Elephas maximus indicus: one gene and its partners. The protein of the gene in region 3 interacts with the protein of the main gene of each other region in a biochemical or structural test. Links are inferred from orthologs where the notes say so. Each region holds a gene or a part of one and is shown on either strand. Other genes may lie near its edges.

Evidence for each region.
Region 1: the proteins of DSG1 (region 3) and JUP form a complex in vitro, tested with the Homo sapiens proteins (2 studies listed by BioGRID and IntAct). The link is inferred for Elephas maximus indicus from reciprocal best matches to the Homo sapiens genes DSG1 and JUP.
Region 2: the proteins of DSG1 (region 3) and PKP1 form a complex in vitro, tested with the Homo sapiens proteins (2 studies listed by BioGRID and IntAct). The link is inferred for Elephas maximus indicus from reciprocal best matches to the Homo sapiens genes DSG1 and PKP1.

Annotation. Positions count from the first base shown.
Region 1 is NC_064837.1:48,805,525-48,815,596, reverse strand, and holds the start of JUP (junction plakoglobin), read left to right. Parts: upstream 1-5,461; 5' UTR 5,462-5,602; intron 5,603-5,781; exon of another isoform or gene 5,782-5,980; intron 5,981-6,957; exon of another isoform or gene 6,958-7,029; intron 7,030-10,072. UniProt on the Homo sapiens protein: Common junctional plaque protein. The membrane-associated plaques are architectural elements in an important strategic position to influence the arrangement and function of both the cytoskeleton and the cells within the tissue.
Region 2 is NC_064836.1:9,781,414-9,792,365, forward strand, and holds the start of PKP1 (plakophilin-1), read left to right. Parts: upstream 1-6,239; 5' UTR 6,240-6,576; coding exon 6,577-6,778; intron 6,779-10,952. UniProt on the Homo sapiens protein: A component of desmosome cell-cell junctions which are required for positive regulation of cellular adhesion.
Region 3 is NC_064829.1:38,711,929-38,722,795, forward strand, and holds the start of DSG1 (desmoglein-1), read left to right. Parts: upstream 1-5,799; coding exon 5,800-5,847; intron 5,848-10,867. UniProt on the Homo sapiens protein: Component of intercellular desmosome junctions. Involved in the interaction of plaque proteins and intermediate filaments mediating cell-cell adhesion.

The DNA of each region.
Region 1 (10,072 bases), on a different chromosome or scaffold from region 3:
GAAACCCACTACCAGAATAGATCTGGTGCCTGGAGCCAACGTGTTAGGCTCCTGAATGAAGTCCTGGAATTGTACCAGTGGGAATCTGAGATGGGTAACCGGGGGCAACCAGGGACAGACATTCTCTACAGAGGTCCTGACCCTCCTCCAGCCTCTCCCCTCCACCACTAGCCCCTGGCCCTGGCCATGCTATTTCTGCCCCATCCTATCTCTGTTTTCTTGTCTCCCGGTTTCCCTTTGACATTCCATCCCCGCCCACATTCCTTGCAGGGAAGTGTTGCTTGAGCTACCTCTGTAATTAAGGGCCCTCCCGGCATTGCCAGCTGCCACACACCCACAGGAGCGGCGTGGGCGGCCTCTGGCCTCGAGGCACCTCCCCTGGACAAAGGGCAGCAGAAAGGGTAGGACCTCCTCTCCAGGGGTTCCCAGCTCCAGGCAATGCTTGGACCCACTCCAGCCAGAAGAGTTTGGGAGCCCAGGGAGGTGCTTCTGCATCCCTGTCCTCTCCTCCGGCCCTGAAGGGGTCACCCTGAGTCATCCCACCCTTAACACGGGGTCGGGGGCAGGGGCAGGGGCAAGATGGAAGTGGAGGCCCACATACCACCGGTCTAAACATTTAAGCAAAAACTACGTTAAATAGGGTTTATCTTGATGAGTATACTCCCACAATGGCCTAAAAGGTCAGGGTGGAATTTAGAATTCTGACACTCCTCCGCAAGTGGCAACCCCCAGGAGAACTGCTCCCTGGCCCCCAGCCCTGAGCCCCAGGACCATCTCCCCTTCCTGTCCCACCCCTGGCTCTACCCACAACAGGAAGGGCCTCCAGCACATATAATGGGTGCAGATAGCCCAGCTCGCATGTCCTGCTCCCTGGCCCCAGAATAACTGCAGCCCTTGTCACCTCTCTGGCTTAAGTGTACGCATACCAGCTATGATGCGACTGTCCTTCTCAGAGGAACAGCCAGAATAAGGGGCCCACAGGCCCTGAAAGCCAAGTCAGTGCTGGGCAAAGGATTCTGAGTTTTGGGTACCAGGGCGTGGTCCCGAAGGGAGAGGTGTGAACTCTGTATGCTTGTCCCTTTGCCCTGTGTGGAGGGGCACAACCCCAGCAGGACCAGAGTGGGGGCCTTCTGAAGGCAGGACCAGGACAGGAGCCCTCTTTCCCCCTGGGCAGAGAGATGCCTCTAGGTTTTTGTATTGCCTTTGATGCAATGTCTGCAACCCAGGAAGAACTTCCAATTGTCTGCTCTCCTTTTCTTCTGCTGAAAAGCCAGGGGAGAGGCGCCAGTGTGATTAAAAAGTACCGCTATCGGCCTGAGGAGTCCCTGGGTGATGGTGACACACATGCTTAACGTACTCCGCTGCTAACTGAAAGGCTGGCAGTTCCAGTTCACCCAGATGCACCTCGGCAGAAAGGCCTGACGATCTACTTCGGAAAAATCAGCCATTGAAAATCCTATGCAGCACAGCCCTTCTGTGACATACGTGGGGTAGCCATGAGGCAGAGTCGACCCCATGGCTACTGGCACTAGATCAGCCTGAAGTTTGACACTGTTCACCCTTGCCCTCCCTCTATAGAGGTGGCCACCCCTTAGGCCACCTTAGGCTGAAGAGGAGAGGAGAAGGGTGTGTGTGTGTGTGTGTGTGTGTGTGTGTGTTTGTGTGTGTGTGTGTGTGTGGTGGGAAGGGAAAACCGAGGTGTCTGGTGTTCCTATATCTGAGTCTGTATCCGTGTGTGTCCATGAGTGTGTCCCTGAGGTTTGAGCGTGGAGGACTGTGTGGGTGTGTGGGTGTGGGATCTAAATCTCTATCTGCCTCTGTCTGGGGAAGGGGCCCTGCAGGGAAAGGGCTGTGTCTGGACAGAGAACAGACATTCTTCCACCTCCTTATATGGCCCAGAGGCCTCCTGGACGGTGAGGGGAAATGAGATAAGCTGAGGAGGGGTGGCCTGGCTGTCCGGACGTTGGCAGTTGTACACCTTCTCCAAGAGAAGCGCCTTCCCCCTCCCCTACCAGTTCCACTCCCTCCCGAAAGCCCCTCTTTGGACCCCTTTGGCCATTTACTTCTGTCTCTGGGACAGCTTGGGATAGGCCACCTTGGTGCCTTTTCATTCTTTACTCTGAGGCCCCAAAAAGCTGCAAGGTTGAGTTAACCATGTGTTTTTGGTAGTTCTGGAGCTTCGAGCAAGAGACATGAGTTTAAACTGCAGGAATAGGAAATAGGCTAGACGTTAGAAGGAACTTCTCTCTGTTCGAATAAGGAGACAAAGGCATTTAAAACTAAGGGAGAATGGAGAACTTCTTTTGCCAGAGATTTGTCAAAAACAGAAATCCCTGCCTTTAAAACCGTGGAGGCAGGGAAGTGGATATGATGGCCATGGGGCCTTTCCTTCACTTCAGTCAGTCTTCCTGAAGAGACTGTGGTCACAGTGACCCCCTTCTGTCTACCTGCACATCTCCTCCCCCATGAGACCAAAACCCCTATACAGACAGCTGATTTTAGTCAATACAACTTGCTGTGTCCTCAGTGTCTGGCAAGCACATTGTAGGTGCTTGATAAATGTGCAGAACATTTCCTGATCTGGGTGGGGGTACAGCTCTTATCCCAGTCTTCCCTGCTGCTCTTGTGGGTGCTTCCACCCAGCCCCAGTCTGTGTGCTTAACTTTGAGGCCAGCGTGTTGCAGCATGTTCCAGGGTGAGACATGCAGGGAACATTGCTGGGAAGACACACACGAGCACCAGTGGTGCGCACACGCACACACACACACACACACACTTTATCCTGAAGCCTTATTTCTGCCCTTCCACTCCACCCAAGCTCCTCCACCCCTCTATAGTCAGCCAGCCCTACCCCACTTATATGCTGAAGTCAGGAGAAAGAAGAGGGAGTTAAGCTAGGCTTGGGTTTGGGAACTGTGTGTGTGAGCGCGCACGCACGCACGCACACGCACGTGTGCAGGGGTGGGAGGGTGGGCAGGAGAGGTGGGAGGGAGAGGAAGTGACATCCTTCCACAGTGGTGACAGCTTAGGATTCTGAGCTCTTTTCCTCTGAGCTCTTTTCCTCCCAAGCCTTGGGCTGGCCACTGCACTGTGTGGCAGGATGGAAAGCAAGTGGGTGGGTGGGGGTAAGGTAGGGATAACAATGCTGAGACCGGCTGGAAGGGGGGCGGGGTGGTACAGAAAGCCAGGCAAAGGGCAGTGGCCCTGGCATGTGTTCAGGAATGTTGACGTCTCCCTGGCCCCCTCCAGGAAGACTTCTTGGATGGCACGAGCTTCAGAAGGGAGAATGTTAGCCATAATTCCCTCGCTGGTGGGGAAAGTGGTCAAAGATGCTGCTGGGGTACATTCACCCGGCCCTATCCTGTGTGTGCTAGCTTTGGAGCTATAGTTTTTTGGGGGGCGGGATTCCTTTCCTGAGCAACCACTCTCCCTTCCCTCCCCCCACCACAATGCACACACACACACACACACACACACAAGCTGAATGAATGAGTGTCTGTAGGATCCTTGACATACTGTGCAGCTACCAGCGGGCATTCATTTTATCGACCACAAAAATAAAATACTGGACCCTGGTCTTAACCTGCCTATCAGGAAGTTCTATCCGAAGAACCCAGGCTCTTCCACCAGTGAGGGGCTCAATGCCCACGCCTTCTATGCCAGTGATAGATTTTCTTTAGATCTGCTGCCTTATTTCTTCCAAACTCACCAAAGTCTCCTTACACCACGTTACGGATTGAATTGTGGCCCCCCAAAATGTGTGTCAACTTTGCAAGGCCATGATTCCCAGTATTGTGTGATCGTCCACCATTTTGTCATCTGATGTGATTCTGTGTGTTGTAAATCCTAACCTCTATGATATTAATGAAGCCCTGGTGGCATAGTGGTTAAGAGCTCGATCAGCAGTTCAAATCCACCAGTTGCTCCTTGGAAATGCTATGGGGCAGTTCTACTCTGTTCTATAGGGTCGCTAGGAGTTGGAATTAACTCGAGGGCAACAGGTTTGGTTTGATTTTAGGGTGTGTTGTTAATGAGGCAGGATTAGAGGAAGCTATGTTAATGAGGCAGGACACAATCTACAGGATTAGGTTGTATCTTGAGTCAATTTCTTTTGAGATGTAAGAGGAAATCAAGCAGGGACCTCCTACCACCAAGAATGATGAACCCGGAGGGGAGTGTGTCCTCTGGACCTGGGGTTCCTGCATTAAGAAGCTCTTAGGCCAGGGGAAGATTGATGACAAGGACAGAGAGAGAAGGCCTTTCCCTGGAGCTGGCACCCTGAATTTGTACTTCTAGCCTCCTAGACTGTGAAAGAATAAATTTCTCTTTGTCAAACTCATCCATCTGTGGTATTTCTGTTGTAGCAGCACTAGATATCTAACACACACCAATACTTCATCTTTGTTTCAAAAAATCGCTCTTCAATGTCTCTCCAAGTGTTGTTTTTGTCTCTTCCCACCCTTTCTTCATTGCTTTGATATTTTATTCCACCAGGTGAACCTGTGATTTGGTGGGCCTTGTAATTAGAACAGTTCTAGCTTTAGGATGTGCCACTTTCTAATTTTGTGTCCTTTCTGGACCTCAGTTTTCTCCTCTTTAAAATGAGGATAGTTTTGTTGTCCTAGCAATTTTCCAGAATTGTGAGAATTAAAAAACCCGTAACATGAATTTAAATTCTAACATTTAGCAGTTATCCAAGTCCTTTCACAAACCTTACTTTATTTATTCCCCACACACCCTAATGAGATAGTTATAATTAATGTACCCACTTTACAGATGAGGAGAAACAGGCGAAAGGTGAAGTAACTTGTCTAAGATCATATAGTCACTAAGTGGCAGAACTCAAACCCAGGCGTACTAACTCTAAATTCCATGAGCATTCATTTCATCTTTAGGGGGAAAAAAAAATTCCAGCCCAGCAAAATGCTGTATGAAATGCTATAAAAGTATGTTTTTACTACTTTGGGGCAAAGATGAATAAGCCCAAAGAAGCTTCATGCCTGACGCTGAGTTAGCAGGCCAGTGAAGACGTCTGTCCCTTCCCATGGCGCCCTGTGACTCACCTGTTGGACAGGTAGGGGGAAGGGAGAGTCATGAGTCTTACCTGCTCAGAGCCAGGGTGGGGCAAGACACACCCCATCCCTCCCATTGGTTCTTTCCTTATTCTTACTGACAGTCCCTTGCCCAAACAAGAAGAAGTAAGCCCCTTTCAGCCAATAGGTGCGGAGCTAGGATGGCATCTCAAGTTGGAGTCCGTCCCCAGAGGCGACTGGCAGTCCCTGGGGCCAATGGCAAGTCGATAAACAGAGGCGGCCGTGGTGGGGGCCTGAGAGCGAGGCTCCGCCCGTTGATGGGACAGTCATGCGAATTAACCAGTGAGCTTGCTTCAGCTGGTGGGAGTCTCTCTAGGGGGCGGAGCTTCGAGGGGGCGAGAGGCGTGGCTTGGCTGTCAGGTCCCTTCGCCTTTTGTTCGGTTACTGAGTTGCTGCCTTGGCCAGAGTCCGGTGCAGCCGCCGCCCGAGCGCGCCGACCTCAGTTCGCTGCCCGCGCCGGCCCCGACCCCGGCCCGACCCAGACCCGGCCCGGCTAGGCTCACACGCAGGTGCGGACGATCAGGGGCAGGGATCGCTGGGGCGAGGGAAGGGGCGGCGAGGGGCCAGAAGGTCCCAGCAGTCTCGGGGCAGGTGAGGGCGGGTGTAGGGGGCGCCACCCTGCACCGGCGGCAGGGGGCGCGCTGGGGTCCTGGGCGTGGAGACTAACGGAGCGCGAGATTCCGGCCCGGCGCTGTTGGGGGTTTCGGGATCTGGAGATCAAAGAAGGTCCGGGAGGGATCAGGGCAGGTGCTTCCAGAGTCGTGTCTTCCTCGGGTCGGAGAAGCCCGCCCGACGCCCGGCCCCTGACTCTCGCCCTGAGCTTTTGGGGAAGACTTTGACCTGTTCCGCCTGCGTCCCAGGGCGCACTCAGCTGTCAGGAATTTACGGTTTGGGAAACTTGCTGCCGCTGGACTCTTTGGGGCCACCCCTACCCCACCCCACGCGTCATCCTCGCTTTCCCTCCCTCCCTACTCCCCCAGGCCTGGGTGGGGCCCTATTGTCTGCGACCGGCTTGCCCAACTGTGGGGGCCAAGCGCACAGTTTCACAGAGACGCGGCCCCCACCTGCCGAGCAGGTGAGCGCACCGAGGCCAGAGGCCCAACCCTCCCTCTCTGCGAGCCTGGTCGGCAGTGTACCTGGGGCGCCTCCCTTCGCTCGGGTGGGTGCCGGGCTGTGGATCCCCCAGCGGAGGTGGGATGGGGCAACAATGAGGCTGATGCAGGGCCCTGCTCAGTGCCCAGCTGGTTTCTGCCCCCCGTTGCTCGATCAGGATCTTGGCGGAGCGGGTCTCTGCGTGGGTAGAGGTTTCAGGGCGGAGGGGTCACCTGGCCCAGTTTCCAATAGCTTTGGCTCCCAGAGTGTTCATATGGGAACAGGGCTACTCTTCCTCTCTAACCTCTTATTTTTGGAAAAATCACCCAAAGCAAACTTTCCAGGAGGAAGTATTCCAGAAGGAAGATTTCTCTGGGGGCTTTCCTGCCTCTTTGACCAGAGTGTCCCCCAGACTTAGAGGGACCTTCTTGTGGGGCAGAAAGCCCCTTTCCCCAGCTGGCCCCAGGCTGGCCCAGCCTGTCCTCCCTGCCCAGCCCCCCATCCTGTTTGCTGGGCCCCTGGGGCCTGAGGTGGGGGCCGATGGGGGGTGTGGGCCAGAGGGGAAGCAGCTTCTTCCTTCTTTTCCTGCCTCCTGGGGGACCACCACACCCCCTCCGATGAGGAGGCCTGGGCTAGTAGCCCTCCCTCCCAAGCTCTGCTTCCCCCACCACCACTTAGGAATGGGGGTGCGGTGGGACTGGGCCAAACTGACGGGGTGGGGGGAGTGACTGTTCTCATTTTCTTTCTATACCCCAACGCCCACGCTGTTTAGCTGGCTGGTAATTGAGGCCGAAGACCTTGGAGCTGGGAGGCTTGCTTTCCATTTGACTTCTGAATTATGAAGGTGCACTCTTTGTGGAAGCTTGTGCAGTCCTTTCCCCACCACCTCCCTTTCCTGAGAGATTTTGATGGGTAAAGTGGGCTACGAGGAAGGCTTCGCTTAGGTAGAGCTGCAGAGCTTCACTAGGCCCTCCCTGCCCCCCTCATTTCCTGAGAGCCCCTCTCCTCTGGCCCAAGTTAAAGATCTCTACCAGGCTTTCAACAATATCTTTTCAAAAATCTAAGGTGTGGTCTTTTTTGGAGGAATTTGGAGCCCAGCTTCCCTGGGGGACACAGAGGGAACAGAAGAGCCAGGCTGTCCCTCCGTCCTGGGGAGCAGGGGTGGGTGGCGGGAACATCACTTGGCTTGCCCTGACTCACTGGGGACCCCTTCTTTCATGGCTATGGATGGGAGAGTTAGGGAAGGAGGGGAGTCAGACCTGGGAACCCAGCTGCCCCCACCATGGGATGCCCTGGTAGGTAGGGTGCCCTGGGCTGAGCAGGAGGCTGGAGAGGTAACCCCAGGACTTCTCTGTTCGTGGGGTCTGCACCTCTGGGGAGCCACAGGGGCATGGAGTTTGGGCCCAAATAAGTTGTTTACCCTCCTCTCAGTGCCAAGGTGGAGAAGGGGAAGGTGTTGTAACTACCGAGGCTAAATAATTAGTTTAGCTAATCTGGTTTGTGGCTGTGATAAAAAGTTAATACTGAGGAAGCATCGCTGAGAGGCGCCTCATGAAAACCGGCTGCTTACTGGAGGGGAGGGGGATAATAGAGGAGGGGAGGGGGATAATAGAGGAGGGAAGAGGAATAAATAAGGTAGGATCAGATTAGTCATTTCTTGCTAGATCAAGCCCCAGCTTGGGTGACCTGAGCCCTCTCCAGCCCCACCTCCACCCCGCACCCCAGCCCCACCCCATCCCCCCTGGAACCTCTGGTAGGGCTGCCAGGACTGAAGCTTTGAGAAAGCAGCATGTAGGAATGAAGGTCAGGCTGGGCCCTGGAGCCTGTTTTTCTTCCTGGAGACCCCTGGAGGGGAGTACAGGTGTGGGGAGAGGGGATGCCTCTACAGGGCCTGGGAGGGACTAGGGAGAGGATCCCACTTGGAATGAGCTGGGACAACTGACTAGTGTACAGAAGGGCTGTTTTTTGGAGTGGCATTATAGCGGGGCAACTCTGGGCACAGGGATTTGGGTTGGACTGAGCTGGGTTTGAATGCCACCTTTGTCACTCAGTACCTATGTGGCTTTGGTCAATCACTTCATCTCTCTGAGCCTCAGTGACCTCCTGGGTAAAATGGGACAATAATAACTACGGACCCAGTAAGTGAGGGCAGTGGTGGATGAGTGGTAGGATTCTTGCCTTTCATGTGGGAAACCAGGGTTCTTGTCCTGGCCAGTGCTTCTCATGCACAGCCACTCCCCATCTGTCAGTGGAGGCTTGTGTGTTGCTATGATGTTGAACAGGTTTCAGCAGCACTTCCAGACTAAGACAGACTAGGAGGAAAGGCCTGGTGATTTATTTCCAAAAATCAGCCAATGAAAACTCCATGGGTCGTAGTGGTCCAATCCCCGGGGTTGCCATGAGTCAGGGGCCGACTAGATGGCAGCTAACAAGAGCACCACCCAGTACGTGCTTGATAAATGGTAGCTTTAAGAACAAGGGAAGACTATGCAGATACTAGATACAAAATGCTCTCATGAACCGTTCTCACTGAATACTTCCCGTGATCCTTAGAGGCAGGTATCGTTATCCCCATTCTACAGATGAGGAAACTGAAACTCAGGGAAGTTAAGGAACTGGCCCAAGGTTGCACAGAAGACCCAAGCAGGGCTGGGACTGGTATTGGGGTCCTCTGGCTCCAAGCCCAGAGTTGATCCTACCATATCACCCCAGTGGAGCTCCAGGGAGAATTTTCCTGTTGCTCATTTTTCAGAGCCTCTACTTGGGAGATTGGAGAATTCAGAAACGCCCAGAAAGGTGTGTGGGGGTGGTGAAGGTGGAAGCAGATTTATCAGGTGGGGGTGACTCATGTCCCCGCCTCCAGCCTTCTGAAACTGCCCCTGTGCCTTGGTTTTTAGTTCCTGGTGGAGAGGGGCTATATTCCAGGACCAGGGATTGTGGTGGAGGTGTAGGGCTTGGCAGGGGGCAGGGGTCAAAGCTGCTGCCGCCTCCTGCTTTCCAATTGGGCAGAACCCTGGGCTGTTTTAGGCTTAACTGTGTGTAGGAAGTGGGAGTTGCCTGCTTTGCTGGGGGCTGGGGCTGAGCCAAAGTAAAGTGGGAGTGCCTACTCCCTGTGGTGTGGAAAGAAGTGAGAGCAGATTTAGGCCTGGGCTAATGTCCTGCTGGACTGTGCCACAGGGGGCTGCCAGGCTGCTCTTCAGGGGAAGCTGGCTGTCCTCTGCTTTGGAGCCTGGGAGACCTGAGGGCTGGGGGGTACAGGCCTTTCTGATGATGGGAGTGGGGGGTCATGGGTGCTGTCTGTCAGCCAGAGCTTTGGTTCTTCAGGAAGTAGCTGGTGTCAGACTGTTCTTAGACCTGCCTGGTCCTGGCACCTCTGCCAACTGGGCACCGGAACGGGCCTGGGAAACAGGGTGGGGGAAATCCTATATGCAGTGTGGCAGCCTGGGTGCTGCGCCTATCACCATTGGGCTTTCAGATCCCTTGAGGTCAGGAAGGGACTCCAGGCATGGGGGTAACTGATATCAGAGAAGAGAAGGTTGAGGGGTATGTCATGACAGAGAGGGAAAGAATGAACTCGGTCCTGGCTGATTGCTGTTAAAAGGGTGATAAGCTTATCACCACTGAGGACACAAGAGCCACTGGGATAGATGCTTTTCTAGAAGGAATGAAAGCTAGACAGGAAGAAGGACTTCCTGTCTGTTAGAGACAAGATCTCGAGTTGAAGAAGAGTGAGAGGGAGAGATGGAGGCTTGGGGTTGACTCTTCTCTGAAGGGGATGAAGCAGGGCCCCCTCTGTGTGAGCTGGGGGAGGGCTGGCAGGAATCACACCTGTGGCTGAGTCTGAGGTCTGCTTGGGTCCCTGGGGAAACTCTTAGTGTTATGTCTTT
Region 2 (10,952 bases), on a different chromosome or scaffold from region 3:
AGTGCAAATGGTTAATGAGCTTGGCTGCTAACTGAGAGGTTGCAGGCACCCAGAGGCACCTTGAAAGACCTGGCGGTCGAAAGTCAGCCATTGAAAATTCTATGGAGCACAGTTCTACTCTTACACACATGGGGTCACCATGTTTGGAGTCAACTCAGTGGCAAATGGTTGTGGTTTGTTGTATTTAGAAACTGGGGAAGGGGTAGCATGCCTCATCAGGGAAGCTTATAAGGTTCCTAAGATAGGCAGCGATTGAGTCCACCATCTGACCAAAGGAACTCAGCTACAAAAGACTTAACAGTGGGGAGCTGGGCCCGTGGCAGCTGTCCAGGCTGTCCAAAGGGGCCTGTAACCAGGGTCTGTTGCAGAGGGACTGGGCTGAATACGGTGGGGCCATCCTAGTGGGGGAGTGACTTCTTCCCCTGTCCCTAGTTCCTTGGGGTTGTTTGTGGGAGTTTGGGGCAAAGGTAGAGGTGACCCCTCACCTGGGGAATTGGAAACGGAGCAAGGTGAAGGTTTAGCCCAGTCATTCTCAGAGGCTGCAGGAGCACCAGGAGGCCTCTCAGCCTTTACCTGGGCTGCGCAGCCTCCCCCTTCTCCACTCATCTCCAAAAGGGGAGCTCTATAAGGGCAGAAACTTCATCTTCTTCACCGTTGTGCCCTCAGTGCCTAAAACAGAGTCTGTTTTAGATGCTCAATAAATGCTTGTCGAATGAATGAGTCCATGTCCCATTCTGTAGTGAACATTGCTGTCACCGGGTTTTCTATGTTCATAAAGATGAGGAGCCTTGATTGAGAATTGGAATCCGGGTCACACAGTGCTGTAGGGAAGACAGCAAAGAGAGTTAGAAGCTCATTCATATTCATTCATCACAATGACTCTGAGGATGAACATTTACTCATCTTGTTTCAAACCTAAAGTCCAGTGAACTTCTTTCAGGAAGCCTTCCCCAGAGCAGCCCCACAACCTGCAAACTGAAATCAGCCTGTACTCGGTAGAATTTTTTCACCATCTTAAATACGGGTCCTGACGGTCTCCTGAAAGCATGCCATTTCAGAGCTCAGCTCATGCGACATGCCTAGTTGACCTCTATCTTGGACTTTATGAGTATTGCCCTCTTCTCTGGCCTGTTGCTGAGGCAAGGCCCCACATGGGGTGGGCTCAGGCAGGCAAAAGAGAGGTGAAGGAAACAGCTCTGGCCTCCTGGTTGAAAACCACACACTTGAGCCCCCATTGCAATCCTTGCAGCTTGACTATACCTCCCTCACTTTGGTCGAAAACATGAGATGTCAGAAAGGGCCACATAAGCTAAAGACTCCATCAACCTAAGACCGGAAGAACTAGATAGTACCCGCCTACCACCAATGACCGCCCTGACAGGGAACACAACAGAGAGTTCCTGATAGGTCAGGAGAAAAGTGGGATGCAGAGCTCAGATTCTAGTAAGAAGACCAGACTTAATGGTCTGACTGAGACTGGAGGGACTCCAGAGGTCATGGCCCCCAGACTTTCTGTTAGCCGAAAACTAAAGCCATTCCCGAAGCCAGCGCTTCAGACAAAGATTAGACTGGACTATAAGACATAAAACGATACTGGTGAAGAATATGCTTCTTAGCTCAAGTAGACACATGAGACTATGCGGGCAGCTCCTATCTGGAGGTGAGATGAGAAGGCAGAGGGGGATAGCAGCTGGTTGAATGGACACGGGAAATACAGGGTGGAGAGAAGGAGTGTGCTGCCACATTGTAGGGAGAGCAGCTAGGGTCACCTAACAATGTATGTATAAGATTTTATATGAGAAGCTGACTTGAACTGTAAACTTTCACTTAAAGCACACACACACACACACACACACACAAAAGAGATGTGACTGCCCGTTCTCCTCCTCCCAGGTCGGAAGTCAGGCGATGGTTCAAATCTAGGCTTCACCACTGATGTAACCTTTCTGAGTGTGTTTCCTCACCTGTGGAATGGGGATAATACCTCGTTGAGTTGTTAAGGGGAGGATGAGATCAAATAATGAATGTCATGCACAGCAATGGCTCAACAGGTGGTCGGCGCCCCCTCTGTCCAGTCCCAGACTTCCTTTCCTTTGAGGTTGGGAGTAGGGAGGACAAGGGTGGGGGGAGGGGGGAAATATTGTCCAGAGAACCTGATTCAAGATTCCCCTGCTCTACAAATCCCCACAATTGACATCAGAATCACAGAGTATCAGGACTAGGGTCTCCACCTGTCTGTCAGTTTGTCCTATCTTGGTGGCCTGTGTGTTGCTGTGATACTGGAAGCTATGCCACTGGTATTTTAAATGTCAGCAGGGTCATCCATGGTGGGGAGGTTTCAGCGGTGCTTCCAGTCTAAGACAGAATAGGAAGACAGCTCTGGACATCTACTTCTGAAAGCAGATAGTGAAAACCTTATGGATCACAAGAATATTGTCTGCTATAGTGCTGGAAGATGAACCTCCTGGGTTAGAAGGTGCTACACGATAGCCGCGACAATGAACTCAAACATACCCGTGATCATGAAGATGGCACAGGATCAGGTAATGTTCCCTTATGTTGTACACGGTAGCTGTAAATTGGAATTGACTCAGTGGTAACTAACAACAGCAACGGCGCTCCAGTGGACTTTGGAATCCTCGAGTCTACCCCCTTACTTTACAGATTTGTGCAGGGGGCCCAGGGAAGGGACTTGTTTAGGATCATGAAGTTAGTTAGCAACCTAATTGGAACAGAAGCCCTGCTGGTGTGCCTTTCATGCCGCGTGATGGAAATGGGTGCTTTTAAAAGATTGATCCATGGAATGGTTTGGGGCCCACTGCTTGCCACAGGGAAATCCCCGAGGAGATAGGCTGACATCGCCATTAAGGTCCCAGGCTCTGGAGCCAGGCTGCTTGTGCTTGGCCCTGGTTCTGCCTCTTACCAGCTGGGTGACCTCACTGTGCCTCAGTTTTCTTATCTGAAAAAGAGAGATGATGGAGACAGTACCTACCTCATAGGGTCATTCTGAGGGATTGAACGAGATGGTCCATGTAAAGGGCCCAGAACCACGCCTGGCACATTGAAAGAGCACAGGAAATGCTGGCTATTGTTATCAATATAAATAATGTGGTTAGGTGCCATTGAGTCAGTTCCGGCTCATAGCGACCCTATATACAAGAGAACAAAACACTGCCCAGTGCTGTGTCATTCTTACAATCATTGTTATGTTTAAGCTCACTGTTGCAGCCACTGTGTCAATCCATCTCACTGAGGTTTTTCCTCTTTTTCGCTGATCCTCTACTTTACTAAGCATGATGTCCTTCTACAGGGACTGGTCCATCCTGATAACATGTCCTAAGTACATGAGACTACGTCTCGTCATCCTTGCTTCTAAGGAGCATTCTGGCTGTACTTCGAAGGCAGATTTATACATTCTTCTAGCAGCCCATGGTATATTCAATATTCTTTGTCAACACCATAATTGCAAGGCATCAATTCTTCTTTGGTCTTCCAAATAATATCAGTATCAAAATAATAGAGAAGCTGCTAGGACAACTGAACTTCATACCTGGAAACAATTTTGAAGAGAATCAGTTTCTGCTTCCTTGGGTTTGCCTTTTAGAGCAATATGGGCTACTCCAATCACCTCTTTTAGGGCTCTTCTACATCCTAAACCAAACCAAACCTATTGCTGTCGAGTCAATTCCAACTCATAGCGACCCTATGGGACAGAGTAGAACCGCTCCATAGGGTTTCCAAGGAGTGGCTGGTGGATTCAAACTGTCGACATTTTGGTCAGCAGCTGAGCTCTTAACCACTACGCCACCAGGGCACCTTGTACTTCCTACAAGGTCGCAAAATCATCGTTATTTAAAGACTTAATTAACAATTATTACAGCTAGCATATTAGGTTTTAGATAGGCCAAATGTGATATAATAGAGTTGAGTTTTTATGGGCCGTCATGTGTACTTTACCATGCATTGAAGCCCTTACATAATTGGTGTGCACTCTACTTTAATGCCCACTTTATAGGACTTTTACAAGGGAGGTCAGATAGTGTGGTAGGAAGAGCACTGGACTAAGAGTCGCCAGACCTGGTTAGAATTGAGGCTGTACCACGTATTAACTGGGTGGCTGTGGGCCAGGCACCTCCTCTCCTCAGCAGTAAACGCAGAGGCTGAGCCGGATGATGTCCAAGGCTCTGTCCAGCCCGGACACTCCATGGCTGGAAGCAGAATCTTAAAATGTCAAGTGATGACAGAGGCTTAGAGGTGCTGAACCTTTGTATATATGACCTGTTGTTGGTCACATCTCTGGTTTATTTGACGCTGAGTTTGTGAAAAAACATTGCTCAATTATAAAACTGTTTCTATTGGAAACTAAGATCTGCTTTACAATAATCCACTCTGCATAGGGCTACCAGGAAGGCAGTGTGGGGAAAGCTGAGGTTCCCTGAAGGTAACCCCCACTTCTCAGGCCCCTTATATGGTCCCTTATCACCCTAGGGCCTTGCAGTCTTCTTGATTTTTCCTCGACATATAATTCCTAATGAACACAGATTTCTGATTTTCCCTTCCTCTGCAGATTAGCAGGGCAAACTAATGAGACACGTGAGCTATGAGTGGCAACTACATATGATACCCAAAGTGATGTTGTTACTGAGTGATGTCAAGCCAGATCCAACTCATAGCAACCCCATGTGACAGAGTAGAGCTGCCCCGTATGGGTTTCTTGGCTGCAATCTTTATGGAAGCAGATCACCAGGTCTTTTCTCCCTCAGAGTGGCCAGGTGGGTTTGAACTGCCAACCTTCCAGTTAGCAGCTGAGCACTTAACTGTTTGCACCACCAGGAAGCTGATAGTATAACATAGCTGGAGGAGACCCGAAAACAAGAAGCTGACCAGGCTACACTACTCCACGGCTGATAACGTATGTTCAGAGTGAGAACCTGAGCCACCAAAAAGTATGTAAAGTATGTTCAGTATCTTTTGCTTACGGAAGCAAGGCAGGCTATGATATCTTTTAGAAAGATTTCCATTAAAGTAGCTTCGAAACTACTCAACTCCTGTTAAAAATACCAAATTTGCTGGTGTAGGCTATCTCAGTGCTTGAGGAGGAGGCGACTACAACAATAAAGCACCATTGCATGTGTCCACAGGGATATTGTGCACATAAGAGAATGAACTTGGTAGTGGCGCACACGGTTAAGTGCTCAACTACTGGTCATAGAGTTGGCAGTTCGAACCCACTCAGGGGTACCCTGGAAGACAGGCCTGACGATCTGCTTCCAAAAGACGACAATCTTGTAAATACCATGGAGCGTTCTATTTGCACGCCTGGGGTCACCATGAGTCAGAATTGATTCAATGGCAACTAACAACGAACAGCAACAGTCCTGGAATCAGATACTCACGGTGGAGTCGTTTTATGGACAAGTCACCCTTCTAGTGTTTCAGGAAGGATCTAGGTAGGATTCAGGGCAAACTTAATTTGCCTTGAATTAGCTAGCATTCCTTCATTCAACCATTCAAAACCCTTTTTTTATACGAGCTAAGAATGGAGTTTCAGAGAGAATCTACTGCTAAACCAAAAAAAAAAAAAGGAACCCGGTTGCCCTCAGGTTGATTCCCACTCATAGCGACCCTATAGGACAGAGCTGAACTGCCCCACAGAGTTTCCAAGGAGCACCTGGTGGATTCGAACCGCCGACTTTTTGGTTAGCAGCCGTAGCACTTAACCACTACGTCACCAGGGTGTCCAATCTACTACCAGCAAGGTGTTATTCCTGGTCATACCCACACGCGACAGGTGTACAACTTTGCGGTTTTGTATCCCAAGTCTGTGGTCCTTGGTGTGGGCTTCACGGCCCCATCTCACGCTCTCCGCACTGCAGGCTGCCTTACAGGAGAGTGGGTTGTCTCCATAAGGCTGGGCACTCCCTCTGAGCAAGGACTGGCCTCTGCCATCAGTTTGGGAGCCCCCTCTGACAGCGCTGGTCTCAGCCAAGACATCAGCATGAAGGGGGGAGGGAAGGCTGAGGGAGAGAACTCTTTAGGCTCCTGAGTTGAGCACATATTTTCTCCATGAGCCGGCAGGAACAGGACAGAGGGGCGTCTCCCTGGGGCCTCCATCGCCTGCGCTGCTTCCTGCGCGCCGTGGGGAGAGGGAAGGGAGATAAAGGAAGAGGGAAGGGAGATAAAGGAACAGGGAAGGGAGATAAAGGAAGAGCGCGGGGAGATACCGGCCGTCCCACACGCAGGACGCGCAGCCCTGCCCCCAGAGCTCTGGCTCCCGCAGCGGCAGGGCCCAGCAGCTCCGCGTCTGAGCGGCGGCGGCGCGCGGCCGAGTGGAGTGGGTGGTGCAGGGCAGGGGTGGTATATCCAGTCTGACAGAGGGCGGGCCTCGTCAGTGTCAGCAGAGGGACGAGCCGGGGTGGAGGCGCCAGGAGCAGCTGCCGGGAGCTCTCACCAGGACCACTCATTCTATGGCCGTAGGGAGCCGCTGAGAGCCACAAGAGCACGCTCCGCCTGCCCGCCGCGCCTCCCGCGTCGCTTTGCTCGTCCAGGCCCACCCCGCGCGCGCCTCCCGCCACCATGAACCACTCGCCGCTCAAGACCGCCTTGGCGTACGAATGTTTCCAGGACCAGGACAACTCGACTCTGGCTTTGCCGTCGGACCAAAAGATGAAGACCGGCACGTCGGGCAGGCAGCGCGTGCAGGAGCAGGTGATGATGACCGTCAAGCGGCAGAAGTCCAAGTCTTCGCAGTCGTCCACTCTGAGCCATTCCAACCGAGGTAAAGGTCTGGCGACCGCGTGGCCCGGGGGGCCCTCCCGCGCACCTCCCCGCGCGCGGGGGCCAGGCCGCGTGCGCCCGGGGGGCTGCAGGTGGCCGAGGGGCTGCCGGCTGGAGCAGGGTAGTGCGCGCAGCCGAGCCCCCGCCGGTGCAGACAGACAGTAGCGCGGCCAGGAGCCGTTCGCCGGCTCCACGAGTTCGGCGGCGCGCCACTGGGCGCAAAGTGGGTGGCTCTCCAGAGTGCCAGAGGCTGAGGGCCCCCTTCAGGGTCGTTCTCCGAGGACCGGAGGACTTAATTTCCTGGATTGCTGCTCGGGTAAAGAAAGGGGACCAGCCCCGTGTCCTATCCTGTCTCCCGCCGGAGCAGTGGTTGAAGTTGTGCGCCTGCTTCCCCGCCCCTTCCTGGGCTTCACGTTCTATTGCGCCCTCAGTCAGGCGGGACCCTGTCCTGGTGCGGCCAGTGCGTGGCGGCGGAGTGTGGCGAGAGGTCGCTGAGGCAGGGGTGCGGGCTCAGGAGAGGCGCTGTGGGAAGTGGAGCCGATGGGGAGCTGGGACAAGCCTCTGATGCTCCAAGGCACATCCGCGGGAGCCTCCTCCTGGAAGAGGCAAGTCTGGTCCGAAGGTCACGCGGGGCGAGTGTGCTCCTTGACGAAGGAAAATGGACAGGGATCCCCTCTTTTCCTTGTCGCTAACACAGAAACCCCCTTCCCACTGATTTCCCTTACCACACCCAGAGTAAGTAGGAACAAGCGTCCTAGGCAGAGTAGGGAATGGGGGTGTCAGGGGTGGGGATCCCACCGGGCCCAGGGAGTATCCCCGCAGAATCCTCATGGGTGCTTTTCCAGTCTGGGTGCTGGGCCTCAGTCCCCCAGGTTGCAGCCTCTGTGGGTACCAAAGCCCCCAGACTGGGGGTGGCTGGGAGAAAGGGATAAGGATCCCAAAACTAGAGGAGTAAGGTGCAGACCCTGACATGTGGGGACTTTTCAGACCACATACCTTAATACAAAGAATTCCCAGTAACAATCACACACGAATTAGTAAATCTGTGATTTTTATTTATTTTTTTAATTTATTTTTTGTTCTTTTATTATTTCATTCTCCTGAATTTAGTAAAATGCCAATACAGACTCTGCAGACTGCAAAATGTTGGTGTTGTTAGTAGCCGTCAAGTCAGCTCTGACTCAGTGCCACCCCATGTGGGCTCAGTAGCACAGGTCAACCAAGATTGATTTATTGAGCAAGTTGCTTGTGAGAGGTGGTGGTAGCGGAGTGGTAAACAGCAAAGAGACACCAAAAGGCTGCGGTGTGTGTGCCCTTTGTCCTTCCCAGGCTCCTGGCTGCTCTCACACCAAGTTTCCACCCGAGGTCACGCGGCTCCAGAGCATTTGCCCCTTCCCGTTTCTTGTTGTGCCTTGGTAGCTGCTTATGAGCCTTTTTTGGAAGTAGGTTTGGAGTAACAAGTGCTCCCATTTCTGGCTATAACCCAGAGCACAGGTCAAATCAACCTACTGTCTTCCCTGAACATGCCTTACCTGTCCCCTTGCCCTCCCACCCCGTCCCTAGCCTGAGCTCCTATCTCACAGTTCCAGAAAAGTCTCACACTGGTTTCAGATGCCCCAAGCACCCCATCTTACTCCGACCCATCCAGATATTGACTGAACATCTGTCTTTTTGGGGTGCTGTGTTTCTGGTCTTCACGTTTGTGGGTAACATCTAAGTTCCCCTGTTTACTTCTCCACCCCAGAGTCCCCCAAGGGGCTTCAGCCAGGTGAGGGTTGGCTCCAATGGCCAATGCATACCTCTCCAGAAATGGGGCTCTCCAAGGACTTATCCTGTAGGCGCGTACCCTCTACTCTCAGCTTCTGGGGAGGCTCCCAAAGGGGGCCAGTTTTCCCAGTAGCATCCTAGCTGGAAGAGGTCGTTCGGCTACTTGGAGCTGGTGTTTCTGGTTTATCTGGCTTCATTTTCATCAGATTTCCCATCCTCTCCATCAAAACCACCCAAGCGTTCCCTGTTTGGCTCTGTGGCTGGCTTTACTCACCCTGCTCTCTCTTACTCATATTGGTTTCCATTCCTTGGGCCTCCTCTGGTTCCTCAGAGGGGTGAGTTGGGTGCTATGGAAGGACCGTTAAAAAAAAAAAAAAAAAAACACTGTTGCCACCAAGCTGATTCTGATTCATTGTGACCCTATAAGACGGAGTAGAATTCCTCCATAGGGTTTCCAAGGAGTGGCCGGTGGATTCCAACTGCCGACCTTTTGATTAGCAGCCGAGCTCTTAATGGAAAGACCATATCCCAGGCTATTCCCCTTGTACCCTGGACAGACCCTCACTCTTCTTTAGTCTCTGGAGAGTGAAGAGGCCAGTATCCCTGGCATCTTTGATCTTTTTGGTCCTCCTGAATCCCATCCAGGGCCCACCTAGTTAAGAACCCTTGCCCTAAAGATGACCACCCACACCCCACAGGCTGCCCTTCAGAGTGCCTGCTGCTCCTGTACCCTGTAAAGAACAGTCAGGGCAGTTCCCTCAGGAACAGGCCACCCCACCCCTGGCAACAGCACTGACTTTTTCTCAGAGCCTTCCCCAGCAAAGTTTTGTTCTGTTAGGTCACTGAGGAGGAATTGAACCACCACAGGCTAGAAAAAGGAGCCCCATGGAGAAGCCCAGAACCAAATGCCCATGTCCACCCATGCTCTCCCTCCCTGAACACAGTAGATCGAACAGACCCCTGGCCCTGGTCAGGCAGCCCTGGAGGAGGGTGAGGGTCCTCTCTGCGACCTGGGGACATTGCAGGCAGAGGCTTCTCTGAGCTTGCCTATCCATCTTAAGCTGGCCCCTAAGTATTATTTCCCATGGCTTCAGAGGGTCTCTGTGCACATCAGGGTGCCTGGGGTGCTTTTCTTCTCACGGGAAGCCAGATCATGTGTGAAGCACAAGGAAAATGAGAGACCTGGCTGCTCAACAAAGATCCTTGCTGGGTAAACTTGACTCCTCTGAGGCTGGGAAAGTCCCTCCAGGGTTGATAATGAGCTTCACTGTACGGGGGGGAAGTCCTGGGCACACTGGTTATCCAGCCCAAAAGGAAACTCTTCTCCACATCAGGGTCTTTATAACTTCCTTTGGCGTCTCTTCCTAAAGCTTACCCCAAATCTCACTGGATCCCATCCCACACACCACCTGCCACCACCTTGAATATACGTCACACACAGTTTAAGTAAATGGGCTCCCTTTGTCGAAGTCTTATTCTGGGGAAATCGGAACACTAATTTGCGTGGCACTAATTTGCTTAGGGAAACCCTGGTGGCGTAGTGGTTAAGTGCTACGGCTGCTAACCAAGAGGTTGGCAGTTGGAATCCACCAGGTGCTCCTTGGAAACTCTATGGGGCAGTTCTACTCTGTCCAATAGGGTCGCTGTGAGTCGGAATCAACTCGATGGTAGTGGGTGGTAATTCACTTAGACAAGTGTGGGTCCGTCCTGCTTCTCTTTTCTTCTTAGAAGTAACATTTCCCATCTAAAATGGCCAAACCTCTATTTTTGTCTGGTCTGAGACAGGAGTTGGGGGATGACATTAGGCTAGGGGAGGTGCCTGTCTCCCCTTCCACCATTCCTTTGTCTGTTCGTCACCGTGGCAGGCTTGTGCTGGCTCCTCAGCAGAGCACAGGCAAAGGCTCCTCGCTCAGAAGCCCTATCCTTAGTTGGCTCCTTTGTGTTTGTGTTTGGCTATGTCTCCGCAGGAACCTCCCCCTGAGTGAAGGTTCTGTTCACACTTCTCTCTTGAAAGTTGTCCTGTCCTGACCACAGAGAGCAAGCAAACATCACTCCTCGACTTGTTTTCTCTGGACCAGGCTATGATAAAAAAAATGGGAGATGGTAAAGAGAGATTGGGCGTTAGCTTTGTTCCAGGAGCAAAACATACTAATTAGGCTCCAAATGAACCAGTCCTTTTTTCTTTACAATGTATCTTGGCTTGAAATTGGAGTTTTAGGCAGAATTTCCGTTGGCCTCTTATAAAAAAAAAAAAACACATGCAAAAATGCTGAGTATCCTGGGGTGTTTCATGGCAAATGACGTTTCCCTGGGTCCTACTCCTTTGCTAAGCTCATTGGCAGAGAATGAAAAGATAATATTAATAAAAATCCCTCTCCCTGCACATCAAATTGTAAATATAGATAAAC
Region 3 (10,867 bases):
AAACCGATGCCACCGAGTCGATTCTGACTCATAGTGACCCTATAGGACAGAGTACTGCCCCATAGAGTTTCCAAGCAGCACCTGGTAGATTTGAACTGCCATCCCTTTGGTTAGCAGCCCTAGCTCTTAACCACTATGCCACCAAGGTTTCTAAAGCACCAGATAGTAAATATTTAAGGCTCTGCAGGCCACATAGCATCTGTCACAACTACTCAAGTCTGCTGTTGCAGTTGAGTGAAAACAGCCATAGACAACACATAAACAAATGAGCATGGCTGTGTTCCAATAAAACCTTATTTTCAAAAACAGGTAGTGACCTGAATTTGACTCATGGGCTGTAGTTTGCCAAGCTCTACTTTATAGCATTATTTTTACTTTTATTATTAAAAATTTCAAATACACAGAAAAATAGAACACCATATAGCCATGATTTAGTTTTAACAATTATTAACATTTTGCCATGTTTACTTCATCTATTTGATTACCGAACTATTATAAAGCAAATTGCTTTCATTGTGAGATTTCACTCCCAACTACTTTAACATGAATCTTTAAAAATGAAAACATATTACTGCATAACTAACCTAAATCTTCAAAAATAAAAGCATTTTATTGCATAACCTAATAAACTTTATAATAATTCTCTAACGCTCTCTAATTAAATTTCTCGATATATCTCCAAAAGGCTTTTTTTTTTTTTAAACCAGGACTTTAATTATTTGGTGGAAACCCTGGTGGTGTAGTGGTTAAGTACTGCAGCTGCTAACCAAAGGGTCGGCAGTTCAAATCCACCAGGAGCTCCTTCAAAACTATGGGGCACTTCTACTCTGTCCTCTAGGGTCACTGTGAATGAGAATCGACTTGACGGCAATAGGTTTTTTGTCTTTTGTTTTAATATATTTGGTTGTTATATATTAAAAGAAAATTCTTTTAATCTAAAACAGAAGCCCTCTCCCAGACATTTTTATGTATGTGTATAACATTGACTTTGAGGAATACTCTGATTTTAAACGATGTGAACAATATTAGAATCAATACATTAATATAAAGCCAAATACAAAATATTTTCATTTATGTTATTCTTAAAGAGGCTCTGGTGGCACACGTGATTAAGCACTTGGCTGCTAACTGAACAGGTGGCAGTTCGAACCCATCCAGTGGTTCCATGGGAGAAAAGCCTTGTAATCTGCTTTTGTAAAGATTACAGCCAGGAAAACTCTATGGGACAGTTCTACTCTGTCACATGGGGTGGCTATGAGTCAAAATCAACTGGATGGTACCCAGCAGCAACAACATATTATTATTAACTTGTTTGCCTCAAATTCTCCTCTATTGTTAAGGTTTTTGTTGTCATTTGTTTGTTTTTAATCTTTCATCCATTGTTTCTCTTTGAAATAATATGTGGAGCTGATCAGGGTAATTTAGAGACATTTATGAAACTGTTATTGTTGTTGTTAGGTACCGTTGAATTGGTTCTGACTCACAGTGACCCTATGCACAACAGAACAAAACACTGCCCGGTCCTGCGCCATCCTTACAATCGTTGTTATCCTTGAGCCCATTGTTGCAGCCTCTATGTCAGTCCGTCTTGTTGAGGGTCTTCCTCTCCTTAGCTCACCCTCTACTTTACCAAGCATGATGTCCTTCTCCAGGGACTGATCCCTCCTGACAACATGTCCAAAGTACGTCAGATGCAGTCTCACCATCCTTGCTTTTAAGGAGCATTCTGGCTGTACTTCTCCCAAGACATATTTGTTCATTCTTTTGGGAGTCCACGGTATAGTCAATATTTTTTACCAACATCACTATTCAAAGGCATCAATTCTTCTTTGGTCTTCCTTATTCATTGTCCAGCTTTCACATGCATATTTTATCATATTTATGAAATTAGAGGTTCACATATAACATAAAAGCATAAACTAAAGGGTTTCTCTGCAGTGTGTGTGCCCACGCTATTGGTGCTCTGAAGAAGTTGTACATCAGTAGAATCCATCAACTTTAGTTAAAGATGCTATTTCGTTTTTCAAGAAGGTATTACAGTATCCAAGCTGTGAACAAATACAGAAATGTGGACACTTGGAATGATATTTTGGAGTTGGCAGCACCTTACAAGGGAGGAAAAAGTCCTCTTCCCAGGAGAATTCTGATTCCTGTGGAAAGCACTGTCAGTTTGCCAGGGAAATTCCACGGACAGAAAATCACTCAAATTTTATAAAATTTCCATGAAATGAAAACTACTGGTATGTTTGTGAAGATACACATACTAAACAATGCTCAGAGTAGAAATTGCATTCAGTGAGATGGGGTATTTAGTTAGGTGACAGTGTGATGTGGCATTACAGATGAGGGGACTGGAAAAAAGAATTGAGGAATGTGAATTTGGAAATCAGAGGGGTTTGTGTTGTGTATATTTTACAGTGTCTTGACTAATCAGAATAGGAAATAGGATCAGTAAGGAGCCGGGAAAAGGGAGTGAACCAATGGAGATAATAAACAAAAACAAACCTGTTGGCATCAAGTTGATTCCGACTCACAGTGACCCTGCAGGACAGAGTAGAACTGCCCCATAGAGTTTCCAAGGAGTGCCTGGTGGATTTGAACTGCCAACTTTTTGGTTAGCAGCTGTAGCACTTAACCACTAGCCACCAGGGTTTCCATAGAGATAAAGGAGCCCATAAAGGGAAAGGAATTAAAAGGTGCTGATTGGAAACTGGAGCAGAGATATAGTTCTCTCTGTTAAGGAAAAAAAATAGTGTGGATTTAATAAAGAGGTTTGAATTTAACAGAAAGCAAAGAGTTAAGGCTTGGAGTAAGAGAAAAGATAATAAAAGCAATGATGCTCTAAGCCCTTTACACTGTCCAGTATGGTAGCCACCAACCACACATGGTTATATAAATTTACATTCACTAAAACAAAATAAAAATTCAGTTTTTCAATCATATTAACTACATTCCAAATGCTCAGTAGCTAGCGTTTAAGACCCCAGACATCACTCTCCAAAGTGGGATGCAGAATGTTTTCTTAATAGATTTTATTATGCCAATTAACTTAGGTGTCCCCTGAAACCATGGTCCCCTCCCCTGCCCCTGCTACGCTGGCCTTCGAAGCATTCAGTTTATTCAGGAAACTTCTTCGCTTTTGGTTTAGTCCAGTTGTACTGAGCAAGCAGCCATCTAAGATGCATCAATTGGTCTCAACCCACCTGGATCAAAGGAGAATGAAGAACACCAAAGACACAAGGCGATTACCAGCCCAAGAAACAGAAAGGGTCACGTGAACCAGAGACTACATCATCCTGAGACCAGAAGAACTAGATGGTGCCCGGCTACAACCCATGACTGCCCTGACAGGGAACACAACAGAGAACCCCTGAGGGAACAGGAGAGCAGTGGGATCCAGACCCCAAATTCTCATAAGACCAGACTTAATAGTCTCACTGAGACTAGAAGGACCCCGGTTGGTCATGACCCCCAGACCTTCTGTTGGCCCAGGACAGGAACCATTCCCGAAGCCAACTCTTCAGATATGGATTGGACTGGACAATGTGTTGGAGAGGGATGCTGGTGAGGCGTGACCTTCTTGGATCAGGTGGACACTTCAGACTATGTTGGCATCTCCTGCCTGGAGGGGAGATGAGAGGGTGGAGGGGATTAGAAGCTGGCGAAATGGACACGAAAAGAGAGGGTGGAAGGAGAGAACGTGCTGTCTCATTAGGGAGAGAGTAATTGGGAGTGTGTAGCAAGATGTATATGGGTTTTCGTGTGAGAGACCGACTTGACTTGTAAACTTTCACTTAAAGCACAATAAAAATTATTAAAACAAAACAAAACAAAAAAATGCTCAGTAGCCACATGTGGTTAGTGGCTACCATACTGAACAGCGCACATAAAGAACATTTGCTCATTGTGCGCTGTTCAGTTTGGTAGCCACTAACCACATTTTTTTTTAACCACATTTGGCTGTCAGGACACCTCTGCTCTGCCACATCGGGATTCTGCCACACCTCCTCCCTGGAAAGTTGCTGGTGAAGTTGTTGCTTTAGGAATGCTCTAGCTGGTTGGGATTGTTGGTGCAGGACATTCAGTTAGGGGTGGAGTTAGAGTTAGGCTTGGAGAAGAGTCATTACATGGATGAAGAGGACTTGTGTACACCTTAGCACAATGCCCAGAATCCAAGGTGGATAAAACAGTTCCTTGCCACTGGAAAGCTGCGAGTATTGATCTTTTCCTCTCTGGTGCCCAGTGAGTCTTTCTAATACATTGCTCAGACTAAGTCATAGGTTGACACTCACATTCTATCATATCTGACTAATGAGAAATTTGACCTGAGCATCTCCTTGCATTTTATTTATTCATATCAACCAATTTTATCTTAAACATTCTTACTCACTGCAAGTAAAAATAGGCAGCCTATCTCCCTCCCTCCATGCTCCATAATGGTTGGCATGAAATTTCAAACAGCTGTTGAGTAATATTTTTTGCCACACATTTGTAGTGAAATAATGGCACTCTGGAGAACTTCTGTCCCTCAGAGATACCCTTCCTCTCTGAGGCATTTTTAACAGCCCTTTGACCGTGATCAGCATCTTATTAGATCTGTCTCCTGTTCGAGACTGCCACTTCAAACTCTGAAGGCACACAGTATCTGCAGGCTTTCTTCTACCTACAATATTTCGAGACATTGACAGGTGAGAAGAAAATATTCCAAGAACATGTTCAAACACTGCCTCATGAAGGTCACTATTTTCACAAAGCCCAGAGCTGCATTTAATTTCCTATTTGCATATGTGGGCAGCCATTTCTTCAGTGTTTTCCCCATGTTCTAATTGGCTCACTATCCCGGTTCTTGGCTCTGGATATGGCTATAGTCATTGGCTTTTAACCCACCTCACCTGAAGAGCAGCTTTCCATGTTTCCATTAGTATTTCAGGCACTGAACCTTGTCTCAAAAATTATAAACAGGATTTTAATTGGTGATTTTGTTTACTTTTAATTTAGCTTAGTGATATTTTAAGTTTTGTTTTACTGCATTTGAAAAGAGCAGAATCTTTAAAAGAAAAATAATTGTAAGGAGAAAATATTCCTTCACAGAGAAAGTGGAGGCTTTGCTGGGTTGAGGCTGGTCACTTAAAGAGAACTTGATTTATGGAAACAACCTTATTAATGCAAGTATCATAATTTCCCTTGTTTGAATAAATCCAAAAAAAAAAAATCCCACTCTCAAAATTAGCAAATTTTCTACACCTTAGACTAGTTAGAAAATAACTGAATCTTTCTACTGTGACCTGAGGGTTTGGCTATGACCATGGACCAAATAATCCCTTTTCAATAATATAAGCACCCACACTGCACTTGTCTTTTAATATGGGAAGAAGCAAAATGACCAGTAAATAAATCACAGGGTGAAAAGCCCCTAATAATTGTACAACTCTTTATCCTTTTGATCGATTGAAATGCCTGCTAGTGAAAACGTTCAGAGGAATGACTCTTCGCTGGCCCATAGAGAGCTGCGTTTCGGCTGGAAGAAGGGTGTGTCCCAGAGCTTTTACCTGGGAGCAATGATGATCTTGTCAAGCATTTCAGTGAGACCAGCCCAAGTTTTTAGGGTGGGGATCCAGACTGGTTATACGTCCCGCCAGTCCTTCTCCCAGAGGAAGGCAGAAACACCTCAAAGCCTGCATGTAAGAACATCTACTGAGAAATCATTTTAATCAGACACCAGCTGAGTGGGGGAAAGCAAAGGAACAGAGAAGAACAAACAAAACTCCTTGGTCTCGGATGTAAAAGAACCCAGCAGCGATGGACTGGCACTTCTTCAGAACAGCTGCTGTGCTGTTCATTTTTCTGGTAAGTGGACTCTGTCAAAAATCCTTCAGAATTATTCTCATTGAAAATGAGTGAGAACTTTTTAGAAAATGTTATTTAATGTTACTTCTCACCTAAACTCATTAAAAGTTCATGTTAATGACAAGGTGATTTTATGAACTAGATCTTTACCTAGTGCTTCCCTCTTTAATTGAAGACTCTAGATCATATTAATGCATCAATGTCAACTCATCCTATCGCATCTCTGAGACTGAAGTCCGTGCTAAGTCATGCTGGGAAAATATTGGATAGGAAATCCATATCAGTACTTAGTAGCACTTTGTTGTTCAAATTCTCTTTTGCAGGTAGGCTTTTAAGCTATATATTACAGGCATGTCCTGAATCTTAAGTTAAACATTTTTCTATTCCTTTAGTATCTTTGAGGGAAAATTCACGATAATTTTTAAAACACAAAAATAGGATCCATATAAATTAAAATCATAGCAGTTTGTGACTGTTGTTATTATCCAAACAATTTCAGTTCTATATGTGGTTAGGATCCACAAGGCTAATACCAAAACCACCACGCTGCTAAACTGATTTTATTTAAAACAAGATTTTTTAATTAAAAAAAATAGTGGTATAAGAGATGTATAAATGACATAGTAGGTGAAGGAATGGCTATAATTAAGGAGTAAGTGTAATTATTATTATACTTGTTCTTGCTACCGAACTGAAAGTAAGGAATAACTGACATAAAATCGTGCATTTGATGGTCAAATGTAATGAAAAGTCTTGCCACTGCCCCCCTTACCACATTATTACCTTTCTCCTTTTAGAGCTGATACTAAATGCAACACCCGTGTATTACATCAGTTTTACTTACGATGAAAATATTAAAAGAGCCATCTCTCTCACAGTAAGGTTAATGTAATCCAAAAAGGCAGATGCCAGGTAAATCACTCTCCAACTTGGCAGAGGCAGTGCCGTGGTTCATATTTGTTTCTACTTGCTTAATTTTTGAACTGGAATGTTGGGTTTGTATAACAACAAGTTAGCTCTTTTATTCAAGGTACAGTGGTTAGTTTAAATTCAGTTCCTTAATTGAGAGGGGTCATAATCGGTCAATTTAGTTATAAATGAGCATCAATAAGCTGGTAACTTTAGCTGTCCCTCAAACTTTCCTATTCCATTTACTCTTCAATGGATCTTTAGGATAAGTTGATATCATAACTCAGAACATCGCAGGAATCAACGTGCATTATACAGTATGCCATTTGTATATATGAGCATTTGTGCACTAATAATCAAATGCTTTTACCTTCAATTTCATATACATTTGATCCATTTAGGCCTACTGTAGATTCGATTGATTATAGTTTGTTCAATATGTACTAACTTTCATTGAATTTGTAAGATAGGCCTTATTTCTTGATTTATATGATTATTTCTCACTAATGACATCCTGTAAATTTCCTTTTACTAGCCACTTCCTAATTAGTCACTCTTCAGTAAAATGTATCCTTTTATCAGAAGCATGTATTCTTATTAAACTTTCTCTCTTTGGAGAGAGTTTTCTGGATGTTCATATTTCCTGAGCCTGGATAGTTTTTTGTTTTGCCATGTTTTACTTGAAATCAATCACAAGCTTCTCATACCCCTTATGAGAATGATTTCTCAAAGAACTTATTCTATTATGAATGAAAATTTTTCATTTTCACATGGGCATCATAACTTTTTTGTAAAACATTTCATTTTCTGAGGTTTATTAACAAACCACAATTTATTTTTACTACTGATTTTACCAGATGATTTTGGTAATTGCTGTTTGAAGTTATCGAATCTGTCTTTTGCTTTAAAAATACTTCCCCTCTCCCTCTCCCCCACCCCCAGCCCTGGCAAAAGACAACCACTACTGTACAAACTCTTCCATTACCATTGTTAACCTCACTATAAATGCTTGCTTTTATAAAATATGTGTAAAGTGCTAAAAGTTGATCAATGAAAACCCTTGTTAGGAAGTGTATTTGGTCAATTATTAAAACCTTTAAGACATCTAAATTTTAAGACATTAAACTTTAAAGAAAATCCATTTGAGAGCTGCTACTATCTGTTTACAAGCATATTGTATAGTCTGCTCAATATTTCTGAAGGTTTTAGACCTTGTTAAAGTTAGTGGGCTGGATCAGGGAGAAGTAAGCTGGAGGAGCTTCTGTTATAGTGACAAAGATTGCCACATGACTCATTATTCAGACAGGCAATAGCTTACACCTGCTATAACACAGCAAGCCAAATAAATTTTATTGGTTTTGCAATTATTTTTCTTCCTTTACTGCTTCTGTGAAATGATTGTACTTGGGGGGAGGGGATATGGGAGTAGAGATTAGAATGTATTTTCTCTAAGCTAGAGAGCAATCTTACCTTATGCACCAAATATAAGAAATCTGTATGAATGGTTATGACTATACTAAAAGGTCTGGCATGGTCATTGCGGAAAGCAAAATAGAACTAGTAGAATTTCTGTGGTTCTAATGTTTTCTGAAAATGACGTACACATTTGCCAGGTCCAATTCAAATCAATTCAGATCTCAAGGTCTCTTTCTCTATAAAGACAAACTTCTGCAGTTTAAGTTCAAAGAACAAGAAAACAATATTTTTCATCTATTACCAAGAATGATCTGATTTCTTCAGTTTGTCATACTAGCCTATCTTCTCCACTTTCCACGGATTAATATTTCCTTTCAGAAAACCCTCTGGCCCCCTGATAAACTAACTGTAATTCGAACTTAGCTGCAGTTCTCTAAGATACAAGCAGGAGTATCTCTCAGCACTCATATTAAAATACACAGAAGAAAAAAAATTATTATACAGCCCATCAATTCCTTTGAATCAGACATCTTAAATTCCCATACTTGTGTTCACTGATGCCTAGAGCAAGAGAAAGGCTAACAAATTAGTACAGACCAAACAGAAGAGAAGCAAAAGAGAGAACTCTTTCACCATCTTTTCTAACTCAAAATTTATGCCTTATTGTACATGTTTTATAGTGATATACATTATAGAAATTAGCTTTTCAATAAAATATTTCATAGAAAATGGAAGCAGTATGCCTAGTAAGTGAAACTTATAAATTGCCTTTAAGCATACTAATTTCCATCTATACAGTATTCTTAGATGCTTTATTATTTCGCTCCAAATTTAGGATCAGCATCTTCTTTCACCTTTTCAAAAAAAAAAAAAAAAAAAACACAAGCATATCATCACTGCAAATTTCTCATCACCACAAAGAAATCTTTGACCTCTATAAAAATCACTACTTTAATTTATGTAACAAATACATGATGAGAGCATTCTGTATGGTTCAAACAGGAATGAGACAGTTATCAAACCTAAGTCAAAAAGCATTTTGGTCAAGAATGGCCCTGCCTCTGGTATCAACTTTCCTGATAGATCAAAACACTCTCCCTGTTGAGCCCAGAGGAGGCCTCAGAATCCTCTTCAACAACTGCACTTCAGGAAGCCACTATCAGTTGGTCTGAGTTACCACAGAGTAAAAATATTTTGTCATCCCTATTTTAGTGAGGCATTGGAAGTATCTAAAGGAGCAGGAAATTCTGACCTGGTAAACAAACGGCCTGACCCTGAGGACAAGATTCACCTGTTCAATGAGACTTGTGAAAATAGAAAAGTGACACTCTTGTCTATACCTAGAGCACTTAATTGCTGATAGCTCTTTCTGCATGATACATGCTTAAGGCCATTGCCGCTGAGTACCCCCCTGTCCTAACAGAGCATCGCCTATTGCAGAAGCAGGGAGCCTTCTCAGCATCACAGATAGGCTTACTGTGCTCCTGTCTACCGAGGGGAGGCCCTAGCAAAGTGTTGGGTCATGCCACCCTTGCAGGTCACACTTGGCATGAAAATTCCTTCAATGGACTGATGCAGGTCAAACACCATCAGCTGCTGATCCATCCTTTCCCTCAGTCTATGAGAAAGGAGTGCAGCCGTTTACACTTGTCTAATGAGAAACTTGTGGAGTACAGTTTTACTCTGCAACACATAGATTAGCCATGAGTTGGAATCAACTGGGCAACAACTGGTTTGAGTTGGAGTGAGAAACCACCTCTCCACAAATTAATGGCTACCTGTTGCTCATTAAATCACCTGACTATAAGTTATTTGAGGGCAGGTTCTGTGTCTGATTCACCTTTGAATTTCTCAAACATAATGACTTCTGCCAGTGCAAGATTTCTCGATAGGCATCTAATCACACAAAGCAGAGACACCAGAAGGGAATTTTGAATTTGGGGGTATTTTATATTTCTCTTCCCCAACACACTCCAAAAAAAAATCATCAAAGCATTAAACATAGAAATAATTGTGTTGGACTGCCCAAATGCTTATTTTTATGGTATAGTGTTACACTTACTTAGCATTTCATGTAGGGGTTAAGCCATAATATTTTTGCTGCTTAGGCCCTTTAAAAGCCTTAATCTAGGCTTGGATCCACATAATAAACATTCAATACATGTCTGTTAAGTAAATAAACCAATGAACAAGTAAAAGAAACCAACCCATTAAGGCATTGTCAACCCTGGACTGATGTCATTTGTCAGAAGCAGTGTGAAGGAAAGACAGTGATTTTAAAATGAAGCAAATTATTACAATATTTTAAGTTGGCTTCAAATTCATTCTTGTGATTTATAACAAGAGTTAACAAATACATTAAAATTTGATACTTTACAAAAACTACCAAGTAACTATTTGTGAAATACCACCTCAAGATTATTAAATGCAAGACATTTTCATTATAAAAATTACTTATTACACTCAAGTCCATTTTCATTATATGCAAAGAATGGTAAACTTCAATATCAAAAGAAAAAGATTTAAATGACTATAATTAGAAAATTATTGAAATTTGCATGCGATTTTGTGTCCTGTGTATTTTAAAAAATAATAATAATAATAAATGGATTGACTCCTAAAATAGAGGTGAAGGGACAACTCATTGGGGCTGCACTGCAGGTGAATTGCTCTCAGTTTTCATAGATGTTTAGGA